Linked DNA regions of Saccharomyces cerevisiae S288C. The gene in region 1 interacts genetically with each later gene. Each region holds a gene or a part of one and is shown in the gene's direction. Other genes may lie near its edges.

Region 1 (3,756 bases):
TAGAACAAGACTTCAATGACGGTAGATATCATGAGGATGATGACAAAGAAGACACACCACAGGAACTTGCCATAGATCTGAACCATATTAAGAAGCTGTTTTTCAGTGTTTCCGGTAAGCTTCTCCGATTAGAAGAACAGGATTCTCCAGTGTTGGTATTGAAGATTGACCGGAGCGATGACAAAGAAAATGAGAGCAGTGAAGGAGACAAGGGATTACTCGATGACATTACTTGGTATGCGGTAAGCGGATATGAAGCGATAGAGGAAGATGAAGAGGAAGATGAAGAGGAGGACGAAGAGGAAGGAAAAGACGGAGAAGAACGAAAGGAAGAAGAAGAAGAAGAAAATAAATTGGAGGACAAGGATTCGTCGATCACACTACTGGAGTACATCATTCGGCTGACGTCCTTACAAAGTAACGATCAGAAAAGTATATTGGAAGTGAGTGATGAAAGGTTATCTATATATTTGAACGATGAAAATACGAACTCCAGAAAGGATAGAATAAGCAATTCGACAATTGAAGAGACAGAAAAAAAGTTAAAAAACCTAAAACTTTAGGATGGTTACGTATCCTGTGCAGCCTTGGACAAATTTTATAATTGTATATATCTATGTATATGTATACGAATGGAAAAATTTATCCGAATCTCGGCCCGACTGCCAGCTTGCCGGGAGAACAAACAACCGCCAATATATGTATATGTATATTTATATAGATGTCCAGATGCATTATTGTGAATGTGAGTTATGCGAAGATACTTGTTTGTATAGCTCGTTCAACTCATTGATGGAGAATGGAATGTCAATATCGTTTAGTGCTGTGTTCGTAGTTGTATATGCGCTTCCTGTTTCATTGATACTAACAGGTTCCATAGATATACTAGGGCTTTGCTCAAGCGGATCGAGGGAAGCCAAATCAAGATTGTCAATGCTGTCGGCCTTAATTTCTCCGTTTTGCAGAGGTGGCTTCAAACTCGGCAATGTGGTTGTCATGTCTACATCCGACGAGCGACCATTTAGGCCCAAAAGAACGTCCAGATCTGCAATACCGAGACCATTGACATGCGCTGCTTCATCATTTGCCCTTCTGTGGCATGACCCTCCCTTTGATTTCCGGCTGCTTTTCCTCTTGGTATGACATTTACAAGGTTCACCCTCATCACAACGACATCGTGTTTCATCTTCCTTGCTGCCAACAGCTGGCCGTCGTGCAGAGGCACACATGCACCCACCGGATGGGTTGAAGTTCTTGGTTCTTCTCAGCTCTTTACAATGGCCACATGTGGTCGATGGTCTTCCCTTGCGTCTGATCATCTGTAGCGGACCATCAGTGTGAGTACACTGCGCCGCCCTGTGACCCCTGATACACGTTTCACAGGCATATTTGACCCCGTTAATTACGACCATTCTGTGAATACACTGATTATCAGTCCTCTTTTATCAAGCCGCCGTCTAATAAATTACATCGCCATGGCTACTGCTATTTCGTCCACAGCTTAATACTTACCGAACCAGGCCTTGCGGCTCTTACCCTGCGTGCCCGCGCACCCTGGCGACTTCGCCTCGTTTTGGCGATTTTCTTAGCAAATATTCTTTCACGATCGTAGTGGTGGAAGGTGGGTGAAAAGAGTTGCGTTCCTAGCAAGGATCGGTTGGTATCAATTGCACGTTCAGCTCATCCCTAGATAACCACTTAACAGCAAAGCCGATCGTTAAACTTTTGTATTCTACATTCTAGTTGCATTTTTTTTTTTTTTCATTTTGTTACATCAAGACAAGATTCTCTATTTAAAGAAGTACTTTTTTTGTTAACAGTGTGGACCCTACCTATCGTTATATCGAGATCTTGTTCCCTAGGCCATCGTACACTATAGCCCTTCCTTCAAGCACTTAATAGAAAAACCTCTTTTTCTACACCATCATAATAGTGTTTGCTCGCCCCGTTCTTTCCATTCCCATTTATAACAATACTAGTAACTATAATAATATCCTTACGACTGGGCAAGACAAGACGAAGCAAGGCCAGCACAGACGTAAGCTTAAGTGTAAGTAAAAGATAAGATAATTATGAGTGACAATCCATTTAATGCGAGTCTTCTTGACGAGGACTCAAACCGTGAGAGAGAAATACTAGATGCCACAGCAGAGGCCCTTTCGAAACCAAGCCCTTCTTTAGAGTATTGTACTTTATCCGTGGACGAAGCTCTAGAAAAACTGGACACTGACAAAAACGGTGGTTTACGATCATCTAACGAGGCCAACAATAGGAGATCACTTTATGGCCCCAATGAAATAACCGTAGAAGATGATGAAAGTCTTTTCAAGAAGTTCTTGTCAAATTTCATTGAGGATCGAATGATTCTACTTTTAATAGGATCCGCAGTGGTCTCTCTTTTTATGGGTAACATTGATGATGCTGTTAGTATCACACTGGCCATTTTCATAGTTGTCACTGTCGGTTTTGTCCAAGAATATAGGTCTGAAAAATCTCTAGAAGCGTTGAATAAATTGGTTCCTGCTGAATGTCACTTAATGAGATGTGGTCAAGAGAGTCATGTACTGGCTTCCACCTTGGTTCCTGGTGATTTAGTGCACTTCAGAATAGGTGACAGAATCCCCGCAGACATTAGAATTATTGAAGCAATCGATTTATCCATCGATGAAAGTAATTTAACTGGTGAAAATGAACCGGTACATAAAACCTCACAAACGATCGAAAAATCTTCCTTTAACGATCAGCCTAATTCAATTGTACCGATTTCTGAGAGATCTTGTATAGCTTATATGGGTACATTAGTCAAGGAAGGTCATGGTAAGGGTATCGTCGTAGGAACAGGTACAAACACATCCTTTGGTGCCGTTTTTGAAATGATGAATAATATTGAAAAACCGAAGACTCCATTGCAGTTAACAATGGACAAATTGGGAAAGGACTTGTCACTGGTTAGCTTCATAGTTATTGGTATGATTTGTTTAGTTGGTATCATACAAGGTAGATCTTGGTTAGAAATGTTCCAAATATCGGTATCCTTAGCGGTTGCTGCTATTCCAGAAGGGTTACCAATTATTGTCACTGTTACTTTGGCATTGGGTGTTCTGAGAATGGCCAAGCGTAAAGCCATCGTGAGAAGGTTACCAAGTGTCGAAACTTTAGGCTCTGTCAACGTTATCTGCTCCGACAAAACAGGTACACTAACCTCAAACCACATGACCGTATCTAAACTTTGGTGCTTGGACAGTATGTCCAATAAGCTAAACGTCCTCTCATTAGACAAAAATAAGAAGACTAAAAATTCTAATGGAAATTTGAAAAACTATTTGACTGAAGACGTTAGGGAAACTCTAACTATCGGTAATCTCTGTAATAATGCATCTTTCTCTCAAGAACATGCCATATTTCTGGGAAATCCTACTGATGTAGCTCTTTTAGAGCAATTGGCAAACTTTGAAATGCCTGATATCAGAAACACCGTTCAAAAAGTTCAGGAACTTCCATTTAACTCGAAAAGAAAATTAATGGCAACCAAGATTCTCAACCCTGTCGACAATAAGTGTACAGTTTATGTTAAAGGTGCATTTGAAAGAATTCTTGAGTACTCCACAAGTTATTTGAAATCAAAGGGTAAAAAAACTGAAAAGTTGACTGAAGCCCAAAAAGCTACGATAAATGAGTGCGCAAATTCTATGGCATCTGAAGGTTTGCGTGTCTTTGGATTTGCTAAACTAACTTTGTCTGATTCATCAACTCCTC
Region 2 (3,756 bases), on another chromosome or scaffold:
CAATAGAGATCCACACCAAAACATTGCCCTACCGGACTCGCTGTTGTCTCGTTTTGATTTACTATTTGTTGTGACAGACGATATCAATGAAATCAGAGATAGATCCATTAGTGAGCATGTCTTAAGAACACACAGATATTTGCCTCCAGGTTATTTAGAGGGTGAACCTGTGAGAGAGCGTTTGAATTTATCATTAGCCGTTGGGGAGGATGCAGATATAAATCCTGAAGAGCATTCCAACTCCGGGGCTGGTGTAGAAAATGAAGGAGAAGATGATGAAGACCATGTCTTCGAAAAGTTCAACCCCTTATTACAAGCAGGTGCTAAGTTAGCAAAAAACAAAGGTAACTATAACGGTACAGAAATTCCAAAGCTAGTCACCATCCCATTCTTAAGAAAGTACGTTCAATATGCCAAGGAAAGGGTTATTCCACAGTTAACACAAGAAGCCATCAATGTTATTGTGAAAAATTATACTGATTTAAGAAACGATGATAATACCAAAAAATCGCCCATTACTGCAAGAACTTTGGAGACTTTGATCAGATTAGCCACAGCTCACGCCAAAGTCAGGTTATCCAAAACAGTCAACAAGGTGGATGCTAAAGTGGCTGCCAATCTACTAAGGTTTGCACTATTGGGTGAGGATATCGGCAATGATATCGATGAAGAGGAAAGTGAATACGAAGAAGCTTTGTCGAAGAGGTCTCCACAGAAATCACCGAAAAAAAGACAAAGAGTCAGACAACCAGCAAGCAACTCTGGATCCCCAATCAAATCTACTCCAAGAAGGTCAACGGCATCTTCCGTTAATGCCACGCCATCGTCAGCACGCAGAATATTACGTTTTCAAGATGACGAACAGAACGCTGGTGAAGACGATAACGATATAATGTCACCGCTTCCTGCGGATGAGGAAGCTGAATTACAAAGAAGGCTTCAACTGGGGTTGAGAGTGTCTCCAAGACGTAGAGAACATCTTCACGCACCTGAGGAAGGTTCGTCGGGACCTCTTACCGAGGTCGGTACTCCAAGATTACCTAACGTATCTTCTGCAGGTCAGGATGATGAGCAACAACAGTCAGTTATTTCTTTTGACAATGTGGAGCCTGGTACCATTTCTACTGGTAGATTGTCTTTAATCTCAGGTATTATTGCGCGTCTGATGCAAACAGAAATATTTGAAGAAGAATCCTATCCTGTGGCCTCTTTGTTCGAAAGAATCAACGAAGAACTACCGGAGGAGGAAAAATTCTCCGCTCAAGAATATTTAGCAGGTTTGAAGATCATGTCGGACAGAAATAACTTAATGGTTGCTGACGATAAAGTTTGGAGAGTCTGATGTCACAGGAATGTTTACTAAAAGACTTCCATTCTTGGCTTTTTTTCTTTTTGTCATTCATAATTTTCAGTTCATTTCCAGATTATTTAGTTCATTAATTGTTATTCGTGTATTAAAGAATTATGTATTAAAACGCTTATTTCCTTCTTTTGTTTGAATGTGTTGTAAGCAGTTATGGGGCACTATATCTTCTGTTAATGAATATGTGTGATACTTTGGCTTATCTTACTTGCTCATTCGTGGCTTCTTGTCACGCCATACGTTACGCGTTTCTCTTCCTCTTCGCGTGTTCTGAATAAAGCCAAGTGGCAATGTCTCTTCCACCATATAACATGAAGCTTTAGCAAGCTTTTAGCTCTAGACATAGTTGACATATCAGACCTACAGAAACATAGGAATCGGTAAATGACAAAGAAATCATTTGTGAGCAGTCCTATTGTTAGGGACTCGACATTGCTGGTACCAAAGTCATTAATAGCAAAGCCGTACGTATTACCGTTTTTCCCGTTATACGCTACCTTTGCCCAACTATATTTCCAGCAATATGATCGTTACATCAAAGGACCTGAGTGGACTTTTGTCTACTTGGGGACATTGGTATCCTTGAACATCCTAGTCATGTTAATGCCTGCTTGGAATGTCAAGATCAAGGCGAAATTCAACTACAGTACTACTAAAAATGTCAATGAAGCTACTCACATTCTCATCTACACCACTCCAAATAATGGTTCTGATGGTATCGTTGAAATTCAGAGAGTAACTGAAGCGGGCTCTTTGCAGACTTTTTTCCAATTTCAAAAGAAAAGATTCTTGTGGCATGAAAATGAGCAGGTATTTTCTTCACCAAAGTTCCTTGTTGATGAATCCCCAAAGATCGGTGATTTCCAAAAATGTAAGGGCCATTCCGGTGACCTAACTCATTTGAAGAGACTATATGGTGAGAATAGTTTTGATATTCCTATTCCAACATTTATGGAATTATTCAAAGAGCACGCTGTTGCGCCATTGTTTGTTTTCCAAGTTTTCTGTGTTGCCTTATGGCTATTGGATGAGTTCTGGTATTATTCTTTGTTTAACTTATTCATGATTATCTCCATGGAGGCAGCTGCAGTATTTCAAAGATTAACTGCCTTGAAGGAATTTAGAACTATGGGTATCAAACCTTATACCATTAACGTGTTTAGAAACAAAAAATGGGTAGCATTGCAAACCAATGAATTGTTACCTATGGATTTAGTGTCTATAACAAGAACCGCCGAGGAGAGCGCAATTCCTTGCGATTTGATCTTGCTCGATGGCTCCGCTATTGTTAATGAAGCAATGCTTTCAGGTGAATCTACTCCCTTGTTAAAGGAATCCATTAAATTACGTCCTAGTGAAGATAATTTACAACTGGACGGTGTTGACAAGATTGCTGTGTTACATGGTGGTACAAAGGCATTACAAGTAACACCTCCTGAACATAAATCGGATATCCCTCCTCCACCTGATGGAGGTGCCTTAGCCATCGTCACCAAAACTGGCTTTGAAACATCTCAGGGTTCTTTAGTTCGAGTTATGATTTACTCCGCTGAACGTGTTTCCGTCGATAATAAGGAAGCGTTGATGTTCATTCTTTTCTTGTTGATTTTCGCTGTTATTGCATCCTGGTACGTTTGGGTTGAGGGTACAAAAATGGGTAGAATTCAATCCAAATTGATCTTGGACTGTATATTAATTATTACATCTGTTGTTCCTCCTGAGTTACCAATGGAATTGACCATGGCTGTCAACAGTTCTCTGGCCGCCCTTGCCAAGTTCTATGTCTATTGTACTGAACCATTTAGAATTCCATTTGCTGGTAGAATTGATGTTTGTTGTTTCGATAAAACTGGTACTTTGACCGGCGAAGATCTTGTGTTTGAAGGTCTAGCTGGTATCTCTGCGGACTCCGAAAACATTCGTCACTTGTACAGCGCTGCCGAAGCACCAGAAAGTACAATTCTTGTCATTGGTGCTGCTCACGCTTTAGTTAAATTGGAAGATGGTGATATTGTTGGTGACCCAATGGAAAAGGCGACCTTAAAGGCTGTTGGTTGGGCTGTCGAAAGAAAAAACAGTAACTATAGAGAGGGCACCGGAAAATTGGATATTATCCGTAGATTTCAATTTTCTTCTGCTTTAAAAAGGTCTGCTTCTATTGCTTCTCACAACGATGCCTTGTTTGCTGCTGTCAAAGGTGCACCTGAAACGATTCGTGAAAGGCTTTCTGACATTCCCAAGAATTATGACGAAATCTATAAATCCTTTACACGCTCTGGTTCAAGAGTTTTGGCTTTGGCTTCTAAGTCGTTGCCAAAAATGTCTCAGTCTAAAATTGATGATCTAAACCGTGATGATGTTGAATCTGAATTAACCTTTAATGGGTTTTTGAT

Evidence for each region. Genes that interact genetically often act in the same process or in processes that back each other up.
Region 2: mutations in PMR1 (region 1) and SPF1 together harm fitness more than expected from each alone (negative genetic interaction), as found in Saccharomyces cerevisiae (6 studies listed by BioGRID, with this or other methods).

What each region holds. Positions count from the first base shown.
Region 1 is NC_001139.9:188,785-192,540, reverse strand, and holds the start of PMR1 (Ca(2+)/Mn(2+)-transporting P-type ATPase PMR1), read left to right. Parts: upstream 1-2,072; coding exon 2,073-3,756. Other genes in the region: YRB30 (Yrb30p), read left to right, coding at 1-563; CUP2 (Cup2p), read right to left, coding at 735-1,412. UniProt on the Saccharomyces cerevisiae protein: This magnesium-dependent enzyme catalyzes the hydrolysis of ATP coupled with the transport of calcium. Has a role in the secretory pathway.
Region 2 is NC_001137.3:88,511-92,266, forward strand, and holds the start of SPF1 (ion-transporting P-type ATPase SPF1), read left to right. Parts: upstream 1-1,747; coding exon 1,748-3,756. Other genes in the region: MCM DNA helicase complex subunit MCM3, read left to right, coding at 1-1,342. UniProt on the Saccharomyces cerevisiae protein: Endoplasmic reticulum translocase required to remove mitochondrial transmembrane proteins mistargeted to the endoplasmic reticulum.